Linked DNA regions of Oreochromis niloticus. Each later gene encodes a partner of the first gene's protein in a complex. Links are inferred from orthologs where the notes say so. Each region holds a gene or a part of one and is shown on either strand. Other genes may lie near its edges.

Evidence for each region.
Region 2: the proteins of dlat (region 1) and pdk3a are in contact, whole or in part, in a crystal structure (PDB 1Y8N), measured with the Homo sapiens proteins. The link is inferred for Oreochromis niloticus from reciprocal best matches to the Homo sapiens genes DLAT and PDK3. Residues at the interface, in NP_001922.2 of Homo sapiens: Ala225, Leu226, Ser227, Pro228, Thr229, Glu248, Gly249, Lys259, Ala260, Ile262, Glu265; in NP_005382.1 of Homo sapiens: Arg21, Phe22, Ser23, Pro24, Ser25, Pro26, Leu27, Phe48, Lys51, Val55, Asn373, Lys374, Ser375, Arg378.

The regions. Positions count from the first base shown.
Region 1 is NC_031975.2:13,573,342-13,584,726, reverse strand, and holds the start of dlat (dihydrolipoyllysine-residue acetyltransferase component of pyruvate dehydrogenase complex, mitochondrial), read left to right. Parts: upstream 1-6,144; 5' UTR 6,145-6,320; coding exon 6,321-6,575; intron 6,576-8,014; exon of another isoform or gene 8,015-8,165; intron 8,166-8,274; coding exon 8,275-8,376; intron 8,377-8,454; coding exon 8,455-8,579; intron 8,580-8,994; coding exon 8,995-9,154; intron 9,155-9,729; coding exon 9,730-9,856; intron 9,857-10,001; coding exon 10,002-10,183; intron 10,184-10,296; coding exon 10,297-10,444; intron 10,445-10,543; coding exon 10,544-10,611; intron 10,612-10,919; coding exon 10,920-11,006; intron 11,007-11,309; coding exon 11,310-11,385.
Region 2 is NC_031974.2:21,273,858-21,284,813, reverse strand, and holds the start of pdk3a (pyruvate dehydrogenase (acetyl-transferring) kinase isozyme 3, mitochondrial), read right to left. Parts: upstream 5,625-10,956; 5' UTR 5,343-5,624; coding exon 5,240-5,342; intron 3,180-5,239; coding exon 3,038-3,179; intron 2,895-3,037; coding exon 2,823-2,894; intron 2,386-2,822; coding exon 2,201-2,385; intron 2,104-2,200; coding exon 2,014-2,103; intron 1,341-2,013; coding exon 1,263-1,340; intron 1,048-1,262; coding exon 971-1,047; intron 838-970; coding exon 736-837; intron 626-735; coding exon 518-625; intron 403-517; coding exon 289-402; intron 1-288. Other genes in the region: slc51a (organic solute transporter subunit alpha), read right to left, coding at 9,279-9,424, 10,809-10,914. UniProt on the Homo sapiens protein: Inhibits pyruvate dehydrogenase activity by phosphorylation of the E1 subunit PDHA1, and thereby regulates glucose metabolism and aerobic respiration. Can also phosphorylate PDHA2.

The DNA.
Region 1 (11,385 bases):
GTGTAATCAGTTCATGGTTGAAGTCCTCTGCATGCTGCAGTAACAGAAAATATTGTCAAGGCGTGCTGTGTGGTAGGTGGAGAGCAGACCCAAAATGCAGGAACCCTCGGAGAAAAGTCAACTCAAAGTGCAGCTTTATTAGCTAGAACTAGCAATCTTAACATAAACATAAGCTGAGCACACAACATGGAAGAGTACAAAGACACCATGAAGACCAGAGGGAAGTGAGGACTTTAAATAAACCAGAGATGGGGACTTTCATTACTTCTATGAAATATACTTTTGCACGCTAAAGAACAGAAAATTAATCTCAGTCTTTATTCTTTTAACTGTTGCTTCTGAGAAGGAATCCATACCTGTGAATTCATATTCTTTATCAAATTGGCCCAAATGTGCTGACTACACCGTAAAAAATCAAACTTGCAATTGCTGAGCTTAGTCATTTCTTTCACAATTCAACAATAAAAGCTGAGTTGCCCCATAAACTCAAATACATTAGGGTTCCAACTAATCCTTTAACGTTTTGGAGCAAAAGTTGGTCTCAGATGAAATTTATTGCTGGCAAAATGAATGAATTCAAGCTTTACATGAGTTTAAGGTGTTGGCGCCTTTCTATGCCTGAGCACGCATGCGCATCTCATAGTTTTGGATACTACGGGGTCTACATTGCACTTTTGCAAGGACTGAGAGCCACCTGGCCGTTTCCCTTAATGCAAACACGAGGCTTTACCAGGAGCTGGATGCAGCTAAGGTGTTCATCTTAACTTTCTTAAGGCAAGTAATGTTTCTTTTATTGTGTATTTATATGTGTTTACTACATCATTTAAGATCCCCCCTAGACTGTTTTACTCAATCGTGCTGCTTGAATGCCCTCGTGAGCAACTTGAATGTTTTCCATCATAAAATAGTGCTTTAAAGTTTTGGTATAAAAATCGCCATGTCACAAAACAATGAAAATCCGACAAACATCCCTACCAAACAGGCGCGCCCATGTTTGACAAGCCTCGCGACACCCCCTACGTGTATTTCATGAAGTGCAGGCTGTGGCCGCCATACTACCGAAAAAAAAATTCGGGGGCGCCCTCTGCCATGTCGTTTAATTTGTTCAAATCACATTTAGCCAATAAAATATGTGGTTTAGTTTCTGTGTGAACGGGGTGGTGGAGTCCTCACGCCCAGCGAGCTCCACCAAACACAAACAGGAGGGAGAGGAAAATCAGAGAAGCAGCTACAGAGCACAAGCAGCATAGCAGTAAATATGGGGTTATTTTAAATACGAAGGCTGACTAGAGTCTGCAAGAGTCATATCGAACAGACTTTAACCCTCTGGGGTCGACGGACGCGCCGGCTCGTCAAAACCACATGACCAATTTAAAATGACACAGCTAAAAGATGCAGCGACTCAGTCTCCATTTCAACTTGGGACGAAAGTGCGGACTTCAAACTATACACCAGTTTTTGAATTGTGTCGACAGGCCACGTAAAACCAGAGTTATGATAAAAAATACACGCGATGGTTTTTTTTTTTCTGAACAAAACAGTGGTGTTTACAGCGGGAAGAACGGTAAAAACGGCGTTTTCTAAGGACCGCGCTAGCAAACACTCTCCACTTGCGAGTAAAAAAAAAAAGAAAATACACCCCTTCCCTATTGGTGTTAGAGTTTACCATCTCAGCCAATCAAAAAAATGATATGGCAACATGTGGCACTTGGTTGTTTAGGGAGAAAGGGAAGTTTTAGGAGTGACACCCGCGACGGAAAGCAGGCGCGCAAAAGAAAGAGAGCGCGAGTTTTCATATGTGAGACATTAGTGACGTTTAGCGTGTTTGGAGGCTAGAGTTAGTTTGTTGTGTAGTTATTGTTTTGTATTGTGTGTGAGTTATACTGCTGAATGTCACATTTGCTCCAAAAAAGCCATCAAAGGCAGATTCCAGTGTAAACGCTGTTCCCACATGGAAAACTGGACTGATACACCTCCTGCTGTCAGACCTGCAGGGTTTAGGCCTGTGCTGTTCTCCTCTGTCTTATATTGAACACAAACTATTTTTGGACTGGCACAAATAATTTCTGTGCCTTCTTATTTGATGCAGCACAACTGATTGTTCTGTAACTAGATTTAAATGGTTATATAAAAAACGCCCGAGGCCTTGGCTGCATTTTTAGGTAAATAGTACCATATAACTTTGTTTGCAAAACTTTGGGAACTTCAGGTTCATACACATGTAACGAAAGATACTTTATTAAATATTTACTAAATTGATATAAAAATTGTTAGTTTTCAAAAAGTGTGTCCTCCTGAATGGGATTATAAGCTAACAAGCAGCGCTGTGTGTTTGGCAGATGGCAGGTCATGACGGACAGTTCAACTCTCATCCCACTTTTTGTTATAAATGTCATAAGTGTGCTACATTGGTTGTGCATCAAAATTACTTTAAAAAAAACTGACAAAACCATGAGCAATTATCTGGAATAACTAATTTTAACATCTTATTTCTTAAGGCTGTATTTTTAGCAACAACACTTAATCTGTTTTAAAAACAAAATGGTAGGTTTATAAATGAGACTGAGTCTTATTTGATTTCCTTGTTTTAGGCCTCAAACATAGTCCAGCATCGACGAACCATCAGTTTGGAAGGGTTACAGATATTTATTCGTGACGACGAGACCAAACTCTTCTTAACATGTCTGGTGAGTATGCAAATCTACTCAATCTTCAGTTTTGGTTTACAGAGACTTGTATGTACTGTTGTTAATTTTGCATAGGATACAGATCCAGTTGAGAGGGCAACCCGAGGTGTTACGGTGGGCATCCTCACTGTTCTGGAGGACTATGTGGGACCCAACTCGCAGTCCACAGTGGTCAACACTGCCATTGTTTTGGAAGAGGACATTATTCTTGATGATCTGCCAGACCTTCCCACTGCCTTTGCCTACCTGTTTGGCCTACTTTATGGGGTCAACATGGAGTTTCCCAAAGAACTCAAGTACACATTTGTTTGCTGTATGGAAACCAGATAGAAGAGTTCATATCCTGCCATCTGATGTTTTGAATCTGTTTGTTAGTGACTATCAGTCAAGATAGGTTTGATTTTCTGTCTGACAATACCACACCTTTAAAATTGGATGAGTAACATTTGTTACAAAAATTTGACCTTTTTTTTGTTTTTGGAAAAGGACTTTATTTGTGGCTAAATGTTGTCAGTATGTTAAAAATGGCTCATCTCAAAACATTGTCAGTGGTACAGTTGTGTTTGAACACAAAGTTATTTGAAAATCAAAATTGTGTAAACATTCATTAATACAACAGGGAGCACCTCATGAAAACTATAAAGGATACTTTTTCTAAACTTTAGGAAATTGATTGGCAAAACAAAAAAAATATGTTGTGTAAACTTTAGGAATTACATTGTTAAAACAATGAAAAATATATTTTGTCAACTTTAGGAAATACGTTGCCAAAACTAAAACTAATACCTTGTGTAAACTTTAGGAAATACATTGCTAAGACAATAAAATATGAGTTAAGAAAAAGCACAGTTATTAATTTTGTAAACACAAAAACATTAGTTGAAGCAACTTTTCTCCTAAACTTGAAATTATAAGTTATCCATCAGAACCTAAAAACGTAAATGCAGTGGGTTGCCTTGAGTTTTTAAGTTTTTGCAACAATTCTTTTTTTAACAGTGTATTTTATTTAGTGCCCTGTGAACTAATGCCTTTCTTCCAACAATGTCTAACAAAAACACATGAATTTAAATAAAATATCCATAAAGTAAAGTAGAAAGGATTGCTTTTGTATAATAAAACAGTAAGAATAGGAGTAAATTTTGATATATTGGTATGTCATAAAGTCATGTATTATATTAGCAATGAGTAATATTGCACTGAAGTTTATGTTATTGAGTAATAAGGGGGCAGAAACTTGGAATAATAATGTGGAAACATTACTTTATTAACTTGGTTTTCCATATTATTACGGTCTTGTTTCCACATTATTACACCACTATTATGGCATTATTATGAAGTTGTAATAGAAAGGATTACCAAAGTGTGAAGAATTATCATTGAAATCATTTTTTAAATGTGTTTTGGAGAAGTTTGTCTAAGTTTATAAGACATCTTTGAGTTTCAGGAGAGGAAAAAAAGTGGTAAACATTTAAATGCATAAAGCAAAACATATAGTTGGCCCAGAAATTGAGCTCAGCATCACACATACTGTTTCATCTTGCAAAGAAACCCTGTAATGTTTGCCAATATTCCCTTGGCTTGTCCATTTGAATAGTGCATGGAATGACATTTATAATACGCCCTTTACTCTGCTCACCTCATTATAGGTAAGGCAAGCTGTGAGGAAATGGCTTTAGATTATGAAAAACAGAGCCACAGGAATTCAGCTGAAAAGTCCAAACCTTTGGCAGTTCTCTCAGGAGAATCTACACATACAGTGCATTATTTACAGGTTAGACAGGTGGCACATTAGAGTATAAATAATGCCAAAAATTGTCAACAACATTTGCTTTAATGCTTTGTTTTCTTTTTTTCTTTCTTTTTTTAAATATACCTTCATATAACACTGGATCCCTTCTGTGCAGCCTATTCTAATACTAACTCAGCCATGGATGAGCTGCACAAGGCAATAAGGAGTCAGCAGAACTCCTATCCCAATGCAGTGTACATCATAGTTGGGGACTTTAACCATGTTGACTTAAGGTCAGTATTCACCAAATTTGAACATTATAGCAACAAGGTGGAAAAACACACTGGATAAAGCCTACAGCAACATCCAAAAAGGCTACAGAGCAACCCCTCTCGGACTAATGGTGTCAAAGGCCCCTCCCATCAGAAGGAGACACACTCCACCCACTCCAGTTCGCATACAGAGCTAACACATTAACTGAAGATGCCATTGTTACAACGCTCAGAATACTGCAGCAAGACTCTTAACAGGCACCAACAAAAGATCTCATATCACCCCAGTTTTGGCCTCCCTTCACTGGTTGCCTGTAAATTTTAGGTTTCATTTTCAAATTTTACTTCTAACCTTTAGGGCCCTACATGGTCAAGCTCCACAGTATATATATCTGACCCGCTGAAACTGCATTCATCTTCCCAAGCTCTAAGGTCATCAGGTCAACAACTGCTGATTCCACCACACACTCAATTTTAAACTCGTGGTGATCGTTCCTTTCAGGCAGTGGCACCACAGTTGTGGAATTCTCTTTCACTGTTTTTACACTGTACTGACACCACTGATTCTTTTAAAAAGCAGCTGAAGATATTTTTATATAGACAAGCATTCAACTAATTTGTTGTTTTTATGTTGTATTTTATTGTTTTACATTGTCCAGCATGTTGACTGTTACCTGAAATGCCACTTACTGACCAACAGATGGCACTCTTACAAATACCAAATCTGATTTGGTATCTGTAGTCAGACAGTGCTCGTGTCATCAGTGTCACTTTAACATTACAAAGAGTAAAAACAAGTAAAATATATTTACAATAAGCAGACCTAAGTGCCGGAAAGTTCAAACACTGAAAAGCACAAAGGCCAACTTTGTGTCATCCTCTGAATGCTTCATGACACTCTTAGACAGTTTTTATCCTTCAATGCTGATTTGACTGAGTTATGATGTGTACATGGTTTTATTTATTTACTTACTTTCACATTTACCTCGACTTACTTTGCTTCAGCCAGCTGTGTTTTTATAATCATGCAGTCATCGGACCTTTGGAACCTTTGTGAATTGGACAAAATCCAAAATAAATTCAAACTTGTGCACCCAGTTCTTTTTTTTTTAAGTCATTAAAGATGCCATAATGGGTATATGCAAACTTCTCGCCATAACTGTGATACATAAAATCAAGATTCACAGGCTGGCTGGACCCAGGCAAACTTCCCAGTAAAAGAATCTACTGCCATCATGTGGTCATTGATGTGATTACAGCTTAATTACATTTATCGCTAAAACAGTTTGAACAGTTCTTAATATAATTTTTTATTTGCTTTACTTTGTTTCTTTAGCATTGTACTTTCATTGGCAGTGGTGGTGTTTTTTTGTTTGTTTTTGTTTTGGGGGTATTCAGCGACTGAATTGTGAGCCGCTGCCATTTACGACACCAACGACAAAGCTACGACAGCACAAGCAAGAGAGCCGTAAATCGTTGTGTTTGGGGCTGGAGGAGGTCATTAGAAAGTGAGGAGTTAAATAGGGGCTGGCTGTCAGGGAGAAGAGACCCTCGGTGTAGGTGTAGCTCTCATGCTGGTGTAAGACATACATATTATTCACCAGCTCTGTATAGTATTCCAACCGCTGCGAAATGCTTCGTCTGATCCTGCGGCTCAGGCCGTCCTCCGGGCTCCGGTGTCCCCGTGCCCTCCCGGCCGGGCCTGCTGCGCTCAGCTCCCGCTCTGCTCCCGGAACCAGCTGTCTGAGACGGCTTCATTATGGAGCAGGGTCCCGAGCGGCCTCTCTGGGCTCCGGCTTCAACCACAGAGCGACTCTTCTGCGGTCTCCCCAGCTAGCAGGTGGATGTCAGTGCAAGCGCTTCTACAGCCTGCCGCCACACCAGAAGGTAACGCTACCGGAGCCGGTGTCAGGTTGCTATAGCACCCATGTTCACCGCGTTAGCTAGCATGACCTCCCTGCCTGTTACAGAGATCTGTTAAAAAACGCTTTATTAACTGGAAATCCGGCTCTTCCCTGTGTGAGGTTAGCAGGAACTGTTGTTACCTATCGTTTGAATCTCTGAACGACTAGTTTCTCCACTCCTCACTGGTCACTGAACTAAATAAAGCAGACACTGTTGTGACTGTTTGTGCTGCGGTTCTCCTGAATGACACCAATCCGTCAAACCTGACTTGTGTGCCCCAAACACGGAGGCCATAGGAAATACTGGGGCTATAAAAACGTAACACATGCCTGATGGTGCTGAGCGATACTGCAAAATTTGGTATCGATCCCGATACCAAATAAATACAGGGTTTCGTATTGCCAATCCCGATACTTGTAACCTATAAAGACAGCTTAAGTAGGGAACAGCAGTATGTTATTGTTTATGAGGTGATTTATCATAAATTTGCAAATTGTGAACAACTTTTAATGACCACTAACTGACTGAGCTTTGCCTTCCATAATAGCTGTGTTTTGTTTCCACAACAAAGTACAGCTTTCAGTTTGTCATGTATTTTGAAACAGTTTTTTTTAGACTTGGAATATAAATGTACCTTTCTCTAAAGCACTGTTATTTAAATGTGCTATAGCTTACAAATAACAAGGATGTGACAGTCACTACGAAAAGGTTCAGACACTTTTCATAGCAAATGTTTGAGGTATATTTTACTTTCTCCAAAAATAATTTATCTAACACAGTTCAGAGGGCTGAACGCTGAACTTGGACATTAGAAGTAAAGTATAGGTTGTATCACGATCTGATACCAATATCAGTGTTTGTTTCGGTACTATCGATATTTGGCTCAATCTGCGCACCTCTGAGACATTTTAACACAGTACACTGTGTGCACAGCGCACTCATTGTAAAGTTTTAAAAAGACTAGATTCATACTTTGTCACTTTCCCCAAGTGTATTGAAGTCAATTAGAGCAGGTGATTTGTGTTCTCCTCTGCTGCATTAGACAGAGGACCTGGAGGGAGCTCATGGTTAATTGGTTGTGGAACAACTTCAGGAACTGCTGAAAACATGAAACAATTATAACCTGGGAAGTCTGACAGGCTCGTCCTCCAATTTAAGTGACCTGCTGGTTTATACCTCTTCGTCAGTTGGGAGTGCTGCCTGTGGAAATTGCATGCTGTCCCCGAAATCATGAAACTGGCAGCTTCACTTTCTCCTTACAGTCTAGAGGTGTGCTCGTTAGGTTAATTGAGCGTAGGTGCAGATCTTAGGCTGTGAGCCTGAATGAAACCCTCCAGTTTTGGCTCTAAAGTGGAAGGCTTCTTAGTAGTCCTTCGACCTTTGTGTTACTCCACCAATAGCATGTCATTCATCTTTGCTGTTATATAAAAAAAAACTCAATAAAAATCAGCTGTGGTAAAGTGGATGTAGGTCATTTTATTGAGCAATGAATGAGGTGATGATGATGTAGCAACAGCAGTTACAACACCTGACTTCTGGCACTTTTTTGACTGGCCTGTTGAAAAGTTCCCAGTGAGGATACTCGAAAAGGATAATACAGATACAGTCTTTGTTTTTTGGTGTTTTTTTTTTTTAAGGTTTTAGGTTATACATTGATTTTATTCATTTGCTTGCTCTTCAGGTGGAGCTTCCTGCACTGTCGCCCACCATGCAGACAGGAACGATCGCTCGCTGGGAGAAGAAGGAGGGGGAGAAAATCAGCGAGGGTGACCTCATAGCTGAGGTTAGGAGCCGTGTGTGCCCACGCTGCCGCAAAACGTGATCGTGGCGTACATTTCTAATGTTGCCTCTGCCTTTGTAGGTAGAGACGGACAAGGCCACTGTGGGATTTGAGATGCTGGAGGAATGCTATCTGGCAAAGATCCTGGTTCCTGAAGGAACCAGAGATGTCAACGTTGGAGCCGTGATTTGCATCACAGTTGACAAGTTAGTGTGTTTGGACAGTCCAGATTCAGAGCTGAGGCCTGTTAGTTGAGTTTTTTTGTTTTTTTTCGTTTATAGTAATGGGACGAATTAATAGTTGGAAAACATTAAATGGGGAGCACTATGTTTTGATAGTGGCAAAATGCTGCTTTTATTTATTTTTTCAGTCCTTTAAGTCCTTGAGCTTTAACAAACATGATAAAAAAGACTTGAATCTTCAGAAAACCCTTACAATAAACTTTAATGCTGCTTGGTTTACGTCTACATTTGTTATGAAATGTAATGTAATGTGCTATATCAACAAAATTGCCTTTGCCACAATCAAATATGGGAGGTTAAAAGCTGACAGGGTGCCATATGGCTCGATGCAGTTGTGTCAGTTTCTACTCATTATTTGTGGATATATTTTCCCCTGCAGCCCTGACTTGGTCTCAGCCTTTAAGGATGTAACACTAGATTCGATCAAAGTAGCCGGTGCCACTCCTTCACCTGCTACCTCTGCGCCGCCTCCTCCACCTGCTGCTGCTGCGCCAGCTCCACCTGCAGCCCCTGGAAGCTCTTATCCCGCACACTTAAAGGTAAGCGAGCTCTCACATAAACAAGTCCGGTCGGAAAGCTGTAGATTTGTCATTTAGACAGCATCTGTTTACCTATGCTGTGTTCTGGTTTGATTAGGGTTGTTCAGGATCACTGTGTATCAAGGCAGAGAAGCGGGTACCAATATGGACTCTTCTGATCATGCGCCAGATTTTACTACTTTACTACAGTGTGTGGCATTAAACAGTTTCCGTGGATGTGTAGTTTCCATGTATCTGTTATATTTTTAACTTTCTCTATTTGAAGGACTTTTTTTTTTTTTTCCCCCCCTTTCTTTATTTTAAAAAAACAAAAATAATGTCGCACCACTTCATCATTTAATCAAAGAGAGGGGAAAGGCTTTAATTTGCTGGAGGCTGTGCCACAAAATTGTCCCTGCCCTTACTTCAGCTGTGAATGTCCCTGTGACATCATTCGGTCCCTTCAGGGGTCATCTTGAAGTCATTTTCTCTGGAGCTTTAACAGTGTTTGTAGTAACTTGACTAGAAGCTGAAGAGGTTGTGAGTCTTTTTCAGGTCTAGTATTGTTCACATTTGTGGGAATTTGTGTGTTACAGATCGCACTTCCTGCTCTTTCTCCAACCATGACGATGGGAACAGTGCAGCGCTGGGAGAAGAAGGTCGGAGAGAAGCTGAGCGAAGGAGATCTCTTAGCTGAGATCGAAACTGACAAGGCGACCATTGGTAAATCCAAACTGATTTGAACACATCGATCCTAAAGCGTGTCCACTTTCAGCACTACAGAGGAAAAAATAGTTATATGAGCTCACTTTTAATATAGCTTTTAATACTGACATTCACCCCGGACCTTCTGTGTGTTTGCATACAGGCTTTGAGGTGCAAGAGGAGGGGTATTTGGCTAAAATCCTGGTGGCGGAGGGAACCCGTGATGTTCCCCTGGGCACGCCGCTCTGCATCATTGTAGAGAAGGAAAGCGACATTGCCGCTTTCAAGGATTACGTTGAAACTGGGGTGGTTGAGGTTTCCACACCACCTCCACCTCCAGCACCGGTGAGACTCACAGAAAACCTGTACTTTCAAATAAGAAGTCATTTGGCTTTTGTACAGTTTTAAGATGCCTTAAGAACACTTTTTTTTTTTTTTTTTTTTTTAATATGTTGTAGGTCGCAGCTCCAGCTGCTGCATCACCCAGTCCTGCTCCAGCAGCAGCAGCTGCTGCCCCTGCAGCACCCAGGAAGGGTCGCGTGTTCGTCAGCCCGCTTGCCAAGAAACTCGCTGCTGAGAAAGGAATTGACCTGGCCCAAGTCAGCGGTACGTAGCCAGACCTATGTGATGGATGAAGAGCATTTGCTGAAGTAGTATGCAGCTTTTACATTTTAATTTTTTAATTTTAAATACTCTTTTGTTCAGGCTCTGGCCCTGATGGACGCATCACCAGGAAGGATATTGAGAACTTTGTTCCACCAAAAGCTGCACCTGTAAGGGAAACCCATACTGTTCAGTCACATTAGTGCACATCAGTCCAGTTAAATCATGTGTAACCATTCTTATTGTTTAATGTTCCTTTTCTTAATACCGATGTAATACTGACAGTCTAATCAATAGGTCCCTGTCAGTCATGCCCATTTTTCTTTTAAATGATACATTTAACTGTTGTAGCACAGTGATATATCTGTTTTGGCAAATAATCAGAATTATTAATTTATTAATTAATATCCTGCCGTAATGCTCTGTACCTCTGTTTCTGTTGTTGTATGTAATGCAAATTAAATCTCTACCTCTGCAGGCTGCTCCAGCTGCTCCTGCATTTGCACCAGCCCCTGCTGCACCAACTGGCACCTTCACAGACATCCCTATCAGCAACATCCGCAAGGTGAGCACCACCACACACCTGCCTCTTGATGGTCCATTACATTCTGTGATGACTTCCGCTGCTAGCAGTCGGTGCATTAGCGGCTCCTTCTGTGCGGGGTGCTGTGCTGGTGTATTGAGAGCTTAGAGGCAAATGTCCTGAGGAGATTTCAGTGTAGCTCTGTTATCTCTGACCTGTGCTAACACATTTTGCCCCACAGGCGGGCACTCCATTTATCAAAACAGACCCAGCCAGCACACCTCATTCCTCTTGGTGATGAATAATGGATCAAAGCTAAAGTGCATATATTTGTCTCTCCTGCAGGTCATTGCTCAGAGGTTGATGCAGTCCAAACAAACCATCCCCCACTATTATTTGTCTGTAGATGTCAACATGGACC
Region 2 (10,956 bases), on another chromosome or scaffold:
GAGTATCATTTTTTCCCCATTAATCTATCTCAAGTGCAATTTAAAAAAAAATACTAAGATGATGACACAAGTGATGGACGTAATAATAGTAGGGAAAAATCCTGGAATAGGAACGTTTGAACAGCAGGAGGGGGAGAAATAATCCCAAACTGTGCCAGCTTAATGCCAACACAACTGAGGCGTTGTAGAGGTCAAGGGTTCGGTTTTTTCCTTTAATTAATCACCAATCTGTGTCGTGCCTTACAGATCTTTGCAACGTTACAGCATACTCAAATTTGAATAGCTCACCTTCAGATAGATGACTGCATCCGTGCCAACTCCTTCCATAGAGTACAGCTTCAGATCCCCCTGGAAATATCGGGCATACAGCCTGGAAATTGGTAAACCGTAGCCAAAACCAGCCTGTAAAGTAAAAAGAAAATTAATGTAAAGTCATACTATATAGAAAAATGCAGGAGCCCAAAGAGGCTTTTGATCACAAGGGTCGATACTGATGCGATTGTATGGTTGCAGGTACCAGCGGGACAGCTCCTGGCTCCAGGCTCGGCGTTGGGGCAGTGGAGTACATATAGTTGAAAAGACGGTCTATCTTCCTGAGAGGGACTCCTCCTCCTCTGTCGCTGATCTAGAGACAAAAAGGATAAAAACAATGGAGAAATGGAACAACTTAAAGACAATAAAAGCTAAAACACCTCTAAATATTTCTTTAACGATGCAAATGTGTGTCGAATTTACCTTTATCGAGAGATCCTCTTTACCCAGAGTGACTTTTGTCTTCACTGGTGGTAATCCCTCTTTACTGTTCTCATGAAGCTCCACTGTGGCTCTCATGGAGTTCTGCAAACATCCCAAGAGTTCATTAACTCAGCTCAGCAGCAGCCCTTACAGAATTATAGTCCTGTTACGTCTTAATTGCATTTAATTAGATCCGGGCCAGTTAGGTTAGGAGCACTGACACTGGCCTGCCTACCTTAAAGAGCTCAAATAACATGTGGAATAGATGAGAGGGCACATACACCACTTGGATGGGCCTTTTGGGAGCCTTCACTGCAAAGAAAAGGAGCATGAAGACTAAACGCACACTAAAAAGCAGCTTCTTTTGAAGTAAATGAGGTAGTGGGTCATTACAGGACTAAATCTGGCCCCAATCTGTGCCCAAAAGCTCTAAAAAGACCGGATCACAGGGTTGTAGTTTTTTCAGTGCTGTGACTAATTACAGAGGAGATTGCTTAAACTGCATAAATGCACAAAAGCACTCTTACTGTTGAATTCCTCAATCTTGAGCTCAGGAGCGGCCGAGTAGTACTTCTCGCACAGCATCTTGGCAGTGTCGTAAGCATCTGATGGAAGAGGCAAAACAACATAAGTCAGACCAGAGAACGGCGCGGATTTCTGTTCACAGGTCACTAATGCATCTTCTGTCCCTTCCTGAGTCACTGAAAGTGCAGTGCTGGAATTCCTTTAAAACTATCATTATATAAACACCCCGCTCAGCAAAGATTGATACTCTTTTGTTTGATTTGTGTCACTGCAGAGAGCGGCCGATGTGATATAAAACATAGCTAACCCCCACTTCCTGTGAGAAGAATGAATACATTTGCTCAGTATAACAAAATAAGTCAAACATAGAAAGAAAAATATTCCCTCTGACTTGAGCGAGCATGATCATGAGGAATTACAGCATTAAAAGGAGGATGAACACACAAGACAAACTGTATGCCCATGCTGACTCTAATTTGATAACATGTAAAGTTTCCTGTCATTTTGTTACATAATTACAGTGCAAAATATAACATTTTATGAAATCTGGTCTAAAAAACTTTACTGGTATACAATCAGTTCATACCAAGTATTCCTTAATGACTCATGATCTGACTAAATAAACCTTTAATTTTATATATTTCAGCTGCATTTTACTCAAAATGATTGCTTCATGTTTATTGAGGGTGACGAATCTTTTTCTTTCTAGTAAACCAGGTTAAATCGGTCATATTAAATAACTCCCAAACTTACCATTGACGACTTCTGCCACGTTGCAGTTCGGATCAATGCTGCCTATGTGTTTGGGATGTGCTGGGTTGGTATCGTTACCAAAAAGGAGCGCTGAAACACAGACGTGTGGATGTATAAACTTCAGCTGCACAGATGGATCCGATGGTCTAAACGACATAAATGTTTTGGGGGATTTTTGGAGACTCACTGTGCTGGTTGATGAGCATGCGGAACGAGATGCGATTGGTGTAAAAGCGGTCCAGGAAATACTGGACGTTGCTGCTGATGAACGGGTCGAAGCCGAACTTCTCCTTGTACTCGATGACCCCCTGAGCCATGGTGGGAACCACATCGTTGTGGCGGTTGCGGATCTCAATCAAAAGCTCCAGGAAACTAAAAAAAACAAACCAAAATAAAAATCACATGAAAGAAGAAACATGTTTTATATGTGCACAAAGAACAAGCCAGAAATTTAAATGTCACCATGATTTCTCTGCACAACACAGCACAAGAATGAGGATCTGCATTGTTATTTCATTTTCCCTGGACAATTATTGGAAATGTGTTCTCTAAACAGAAAGACCCAACCACATTCCTGTCTGCGTTTATCGGTGACACATGGCTGTTTAACAGACGGGCATTGTTTTTGTATAAATACAGCGTTACCTGAGCAGTCAGCAGAGATCTATGTGCACTAAGAGGATTAGTTGCAGTGCCAGAGGGACTCTAATCTTAATGACATAAGTATACAACAGCTGGGTGTTGTAAAGCTTTATTTACTGTACATACAGCGTGCTTATTAATTTTTCATACAGATAACATCCACTCACTCGTTCAGAGTATGAGGGTCCTCTGGCTTTCTGTTCTCGTAATCGAGCAACTCCACAAAGCTCTGCATGTACCTGATAAAACAGACAGAGGGCAAAAGGCAACCTTTACACATGCTTACTAACAATATGGCAATAAACCTTAAAACAAGTCCTGCTGCCATAAAGGCTGCCCTTTGGCAGGCGTATAAAGAACATTTCTGGAGGGAGTGTCTTACCATTTTTGCACTAGTTTGACAGAGGGCTGGCTAAGCAGTTTATCGGGGAGAAGGTTGACCTCTCTCATGGTGTTGGCCAGCCGTACGGGCAGCTCCTTACGCAGGAACATGAAGGACGTTTTCTCACATGCATTGTCGCGGCCTGAGGGAAGCAGAAGTGAGAGGCACAGATAACGCCATGATCATGAGTGCATGATCGCAGAATTATTGCCACGGTTAAGGAAAACAACTTCACAACATCTTACCAAGTCATGATCAAAATGAAATATATGGACTGTTTTAAATACTAGGATGAAAATCCTTTGCAGTCAGTGACTGCCTGAAGTCTAGAACCCTTGGAGATCACCTAATGCTGGGTTTCCTCCCTTGAGATGCTTCAGTTGCTGCTTCTTTGTGAGTCTTTCTGGCCTCAGCTTTGCCTCCAGTAACTAGATTAAACTCCAGTAAAGTTTAATCTGACCCTTCTGTTCTTAACCTGTGGTTTGCACCTCGATGGTTAATGCAGAACTTCAGTTAGAACCCTTCGAATTGAAGCTGACAGTCTAGACTTGAACCATATTGACTGCTTGATCCATTGTGGTGGTGTAAAAAAGGCAAACATAATCGAAATCGTGTCTTTGTCCAAATACTTATAAACCTAACCACATATGTGGAGCTTCCAGTTTAGTTTTCTCTTGCCAATAAATACAGTGTGGAGTAAACAATATCAGTTTTCTGACACTTTCACAATCCTGTTTATTGCCATCAATAAAATATCGTGATTAGAGTTTTTCTTTGCTTGCTTCGGCAATCAGAGAGGCTCCCAGCTCACGGGGATCAAGGTCAAATGAAAGACAAAGCTTCATATAAGAAGGTGCTTAAAAAGCAAGTGTGCTGAACTCATCTAAGAAGAGCGCTCGGTTTCAATATCCAACCTTTAACCTGATATCTTAAACTTTGCCATCTGACTGCAGCTGTATCCACATGCGTGCCAACATTAGCTTGAAAAGTTCACGCAGGGAAATCATTGGTCATATTTGCCTGGAAAGAGGGATGGGCGGTCAGGGAGACGTTAGAGGGATTGGTGTTTTAGATCTGTTGCGGGGGAACTTAACAAAGTAGAGCCTTCTAGAGTTTGGACAGTGCTGCCCTGGGGACAACCTCAAAACTCTCAACACAGAAGAGACGATCATGACGTCCAGTGTTAGAACTTGGGATGATCAGACAAGAGGAAACGAGGGAAAAGCTGGACCTGACTCAGCAGTTTAAAGGGGGGAAATCTTGTGAAACGCAGAATGAGGAAGCTTGTGCGTGAGAACAAAGAAGCCTGTGGCGACTATCCCTGGATGACGTCTCACGTGCTCCAGAGTGAAACACAGACACCGATATGTTTTGGCTCTCTTGGTGCCAAGCAGGGGTTCTCCTTAATGCAAACAAGTGCGGCACACTTCCCGTCACGCATTCTACATCCACAGCTGCGAGAACAAATTACGCAACAGACATGCCAGCGTTTAATCAAGAGGCGGATTAAGGAAAGCCTTGAGTGCTTCTGCACCATTAATAACCGTCGTCTTGTGGCACACATTGCGACGGGCGGGATTTCTACATGTCTTGGTGCAATAGAGGGGGAACTGAAATCAAAGGCGGGGAAAACATATTAAACAGAAACACATTTAAAAACCATCAATCTGCAATGACTCGTGCTCTAGAGCGACCTCACTAAGACACAAGTGAAAATAAATAAAATGACTAAAGGCTTCCTGAGCATCTTGGCAACAGGAGCGGGGCTGCTGGCCCCTCCACTGCATACGTGCTGCTGTGCCAGTCTGACTGAGACTACCTGCATGCGTTAGGGTGCCTGTCAATACTTGTTTACAACGTAAACAAATCCGCACAGGACAGAGGACCGTCCTCTGTTTATATGTGGCTGCTTCACTGCAGGCGATCTCTACGTTTAACACACCTGACCGTAAGAAAGTCTAATGTTGCACGATCTGATATCGTCGTGTTGGTGTTGTTCCCAGATCATTATACTAAATGTTGTTTCAGCATCAACATGTTCCCTTCTATTAATAACGAGCCGGGGCTAAGCGTGTGACTCTTCAGGTCCACAGCTGCGACTGATGAGATGACAAAAACACACAACAGGGCCTTCCACCTCCGCCTCCACCCTCTACAAGTCATTCAAGTCCTCTAAAGGTGCCAGGCGATGCCTTTACTCACCGAAATCCAAAAACTGCTTGATGGAGAGCGGGGACGGTGAAAATCTGGAGTAATACTCGATTTTGGGGTTGCTGTTTTTCAGCAAAGACCAGAAGATCCTCATATTGAAAGTTTTAGCGATGATGTGAGTGAGAAGAAATTAGGAGAAGGCGGACAGATGCTCGGACGGTGCGTTTCTTCCAGGGGCGGCCACATTTCCACCGGCCACAGCGGAGGAGACGGAGCGACGCGACAGAGCCAGCTCCATAAGGTTACAGGATAGGATAGAAGCGACAGGAACGGCTTCCTGGATCTACATTACTGCACGCTCAGATGAGCTCAGCTATCCAAAGCCCTTCGCAATGACATGACGACTTCATGCCATACTTTTCAAAATAAAGAAAGAATGCGCAGTATATTTAGTAATATTTTATACCGTCTATAGGGCAACACTGCAAGCTGCAAGGAGGGGTAAATTGGAAAGCCTGGCAACAACATTTATTAGTTTTATATAATATTCAAATAAAATTATTAATATTTATTAAATCAATTAGCATATTGTATATTTCATTTTCTGCACACGTTGTATATATTTAATTCTGTATATATGGTCCTTATTTATCTATTGTGTTTTGCATGTATTTCTTTAACCCTGATGTGGGTCAATACAACAATTTTGGTGTACTGTTGTGCAAAGTACGAGCGTGCAAGGACAATAAAGAGTTCAACTTAAATGGTTTATTAATTTTAATGGATAAAACATTATATTCTTATACTTGGGATTATTATTTAAAGTCTCCCTCCCGACCCATGACCTGCATTTATACACAAATTCTGTCGCTTAACAGAAACACCATGCTTTTTTAAAGAATTTACTTAATTACTGGTGTATACATGGTCTATAAGGGTAACTTATCACTCATGTTTTAAATTACAATGACATTATCAATGTAACCCCAAAGCAAATGTCTTTGGACATTTCCTTGTTGAAGGTTGTATGAAGTTCGTATTAAAAAAAATATATTTTTAGGTAAAATGGTTTGTTTTTGTCTTGCAACAGGTTTCCTTTTTTTGTTTTTCCTATTAAAAATGAATAATAACACCGTAAACCAATTCATAAATGAAACACTTTTAGGTGTAGTTGAATGTATCCCTGCGTAGAGGCAAAAGCTTTTAATTTGAAGAGCTGATCTGTAAACATCCGGTGTAATTGATCTCCATTGACGTTTGTGGACAGCACGTACCTTCGAAAACTTCGACTCAACCGCACTTGGTGCAGGCTTGTGGATTCACAGCCGTGATTGGCTCCAAGAGAGGAGCGACAAATTCGACAATGTTATTGGTCAGAGGCTTGTCAGTCAACGTCATTAACGTCTACATACCTGTTTATCTGTTCATGCGCAGTCAGCAGGCAGTAGATGTTAGAAATGGGGGGTACAGAACGTAAGATTGTGGGTGGAGAACAGGTTTGGGCACCATTTTTAACACGATGTAAGCAGATTATGGTTCTTTTAAAACGAAAAAATAAGCCCCTTACTGTTTTTTTTTTGTTTTTACTGCCCCCTAGTGAGACAATATTTTAAAAATCTACAGTGCCCAGAGCAATGACAGTATTGGACCAGAGAACAAACACCACACCGGAGAACTGTTAGAGCATTACCTTTTTAAAATAACCACATGTGAATAGTTAAAGTAGGCCAACATATCATACATACATGCATACATATGTGTATTATATGCATTTAATAATACTCTATTTGAGCACCTATAGTTTTCCAAAAAACAAACAAACAAACAAAAAAACAATCACCTTTTTTAAATTTAATGCTAATTCAACTTTTTAGAAAGACTTTTAAACTGGCCTGTTAGTTATTTCCAATTCTCTTTGTAACCCAGAGAGTCGGAGGATTGCAGGTACGCTGATGTTAAACCGTAAAATGCCAGCATGCAATGAACAAAATTTTTTTAATAATAAATTAATATTAAAATACAGTACTGCACAAAAGTCTAAAGCCACTCCCTATTTCTTTGTATTTTGTTACTAAAGCGATTAATAGGTTTAACGTGTACACTGAAATATAAGCCAATGTACTGGAAGAAGGAGAAGCCCCAAATCATGACAGAGATAGCTGAAGACACTCACTGTTGCCCATCTCGCCAGACCTCTTCCACATATATTGACGACGATTCAAGAGAAAAATATTAAATGTATTTATTGTCATAAAACCTGCCGTCACTAATTTTAAGTCCAGTTTTGATAATCTGAAATATTTAAGTATAGCTTCTTCAGAGCCAAACATCCACCTAGACCATTTCTGTCAACAGCAGATGGCTCAGAAGAAGCATCTCTCAGGTTCTGTGTCAGGTCTTTGACTTTTTTTTTCTTCCTGTTTCTTAAGAACACGACTTTTAAATACTGTTCATTTGCTGTACATAGCCGAAGAATTGGCATATCTATGGGCAGTGTGTCCTAAAAATAGAGAAAACTAGACAAGTGGAGGAAGAAAATACAGTTTTATGCCGGTCATACTTTGTTAAGTTTAACATTTTTTATCGAATCACCTAAAGAAATGCAAACAAATGGTATGTTTTGGGAACTGGCTGCTAGTAACAAAAAGCCTCTTTTCTAAGTTTGTTATGTGTAGATACAACATTGCTTCATGTCTTGAGTTAGTGAGGCGGTAGCTCAAGACTTTTGCACAGTACTCGATACTTCACTCATCTGAACTTTGGTGATTTTTAAAAATATTTGCTTTGCTTTATTTTTCTGTAGTGTTGTTTTCTTGTAACTGAGCACCATTGCGATGACCTCAAGTAGATGAGAATCAGCATCCATCAGCGAGGATTTATGATGCTGTTCCAGCTTTTTTCCTTTATCTGTTTCGCAAGCATAAGGAAATCATGCATTGAAATCTCCAGAGACAAAGGCTTTCTTTCGCTTGTGTACTTCACAAGCCATTATTCAAATGGTATCAAATTAGCCTACATAATTTCTGGTAAATTATGGGAAAATCTCATATTTGTAAAATAAAACATCTCCTAAAACAACCCCCTGATACCACTTAATTAAGAACATGTTTTCTGGCAGTCAGATGTGGTTCTCTGTCTCACTGCAGATTATGTTTTGGAGGAAAACTAAAGGGTTCTTCTGGGGAAAAAAGTGTGTATACAAGCGTTATTACACAAAAAAGATCAGGCGACCTCGAAAATGTGAGAATGTGGTGTCAAATGTAGCACTGAGAGCTCTAGGACAAAACAAGTCCAATGTCTGAGTCTTCAGTAAAGCTGTATTTTAACTCTTCAAGCTATTGCCAGTGCAATAAGTATCCGTTTTTGTGTACAGTACAGTGAACTGTATTCACAGACAGTGATTTCTGGAAGTGTTCCTGAGCCTGTGCAGTGATTTCCATGATGGAATGACACCTGTTTTTAATGCAGTGTCATTTTAAGACCTGAAGATCACATGCATCCATATTGATTTTTGGCCTTGTCACTTGTGCATGGAGATTTCTCCAGGTTCTCTAAATTATTGGATGACATTAGGCACTGTAGATAATGAGATATTGAAAGTCTTTGCAATTTTACATTAAGGAACATTATTCTGATTTTTGATTTTTTTGCAGATTGGCGAACCTCTGCCAATTTTTACTTCTGAGAAACTCTGCCTCTCTAAGATGCTCTTTTTATTCCCAGTGATGTTACTGATCTGTTGCCAGTTAACCTGATACTCTGCAAAATGTTCCTCCAACTGTTTTGTTTTTTATTCCCACTTACTTTCTTTGAAAAAATTGTAGACTTTCAATGAGAGTCAGTCCATTTCCACGGGATGTTCTTATTAATTTCACATGCCTGTACATGACCCGAGTATCCTGTCAATAAAAACTGTGTAGCGGACTCGCAGCCGGTAAGCTTAATGAGCAGCCACACAACCCATTTACATATAACTCATATTTGTTATTTTGAATATATGCAATGTCTTAATCAAATACTTGAAAGAAAATATGAATCAAACATACAAACACACACACACATACATACACACATTAACACAATTTAGTTCTCATGGAGACTGTGTTAAGTCAGTCATCCTGGTGTTTTCATTGGCATCCTGCTCTTCAGGTAAAGGATCGTACTGTCGTCGATAGAGCAGCCGTGTTACCATCGTTATGATGAACATCTCCATGATCAGCAGCTGCTGGCTCATCACTGTGAAGGCAGAATAAGGACACAAACAAGCTTAGCTGTCACAGGGTTACTGGTAAAAAAATAAGGATACTGATGCATGCTAAATATGATACAGTTGGATCCATAAATATTTGGACACAGACTGCTTTTTTCTTCTTTTTTTTTTGGTTCTGTAAATTACCACAATGACCTTTAGATGAAACAACTCAGATGCAGTTGAAGTGCAGAATTTCTGCTTTAATTCAGTGGGGGAACAAAAAGATTGCCTAAAAATGTGAGGAACTAGAGTATTTTTTAACACAATACCTTCATATCAGGGGCTCAAAAGTAATTGTACAAATTAAATAAGTGAAAATAAAGTGTTTGTTTTTAATGGTTTTGCTGGCAATGACAGCCTGATGTCTTGAGCTCATGGACATCACCAGATGCTGGGTTTTCTCCTTTTTAATGCATTGCCAGGTCTTTACTGCAGTGTCTTTCAGTTGCTGTGTGTTTGTGGGTCTTTCTGTCTGAAGTTTAGTCTTTAACAAGTGAAATGCATGCTCAACTGGATTAAGATCAGCTGACTGACTTGGCCATTCAAGAATATTCTACTTATTTGCTTTAATAAACACCTGGGTTGTTTTGGCTGTAAGTTTTGGGTCATTGTCTGTCTGTATTTTTGAAACACCCCCAATCAGTTTTACTGCATTTAACTGGATTTGAGCAAACATTACATCTCTTAACACCTCAGAGTTCATTCGGCTGCTTCTGTCCTGTGTCACATCATCAATAAACACTAGTGCCCCAGTGCCACTGGCAGCCATGCACGCCCAAGCCATCACACTTGCCCCCGCTGTGTATTACAGATGATGTGGTTTGCTTTGGATCATGAGCTGTTCCATGCATTCTCCATACGTTTTTCTTGCCATCATTCTGGTAGAGGTTGATCTTGGTTTCATCTGTCCAAAGAATGTTTTTCCAGAACTGTGCCGGCTTTTTTTTTACATGTTTTCTAGTAAAATCCAGTCTAGCCTTTCTATTCTTGAGGCTTATGAGTGGCTTGCACCTTGCAGTGAACCCTCTGTATTTACTTTCATTCAGTCTTCCCTTTATAGTACACTTGGATATCGATGCGCCTACATCCTGGAGAGTGTTGTTCACTTGGTTGGCTGTTGTGAAGTGATTTCTCTTCACCATAAAACTGACTCTGTGATCATCCTCCACTGTTGTCTTCTCTGGACGCCCAGGTCTTTTTGCATTGTTGAGTTCACTACACATTATGTCCAAGTCCGTTATTTAACTATGATCGAAATATGTTTCAGTAAACACATACAAAAATAAAACTTGTGTCAGTGTCCAAATATATATGGAACTGTAAATATGTGGATGATTGGCCTGACTGGATAGATGGATGTAAACTCACTGTATCCTCTGATCGACGAGGGGAAAGGTGGAGAGCAGGCGATGGTGCCATTCGAGCCCAAGATGTTGATAATAGCTGTCTGCAGCTGGGTAAGAATCAGGAGCAGCTAACGACACAAATGAAAACATACAAGAACTAATTGTAGTTG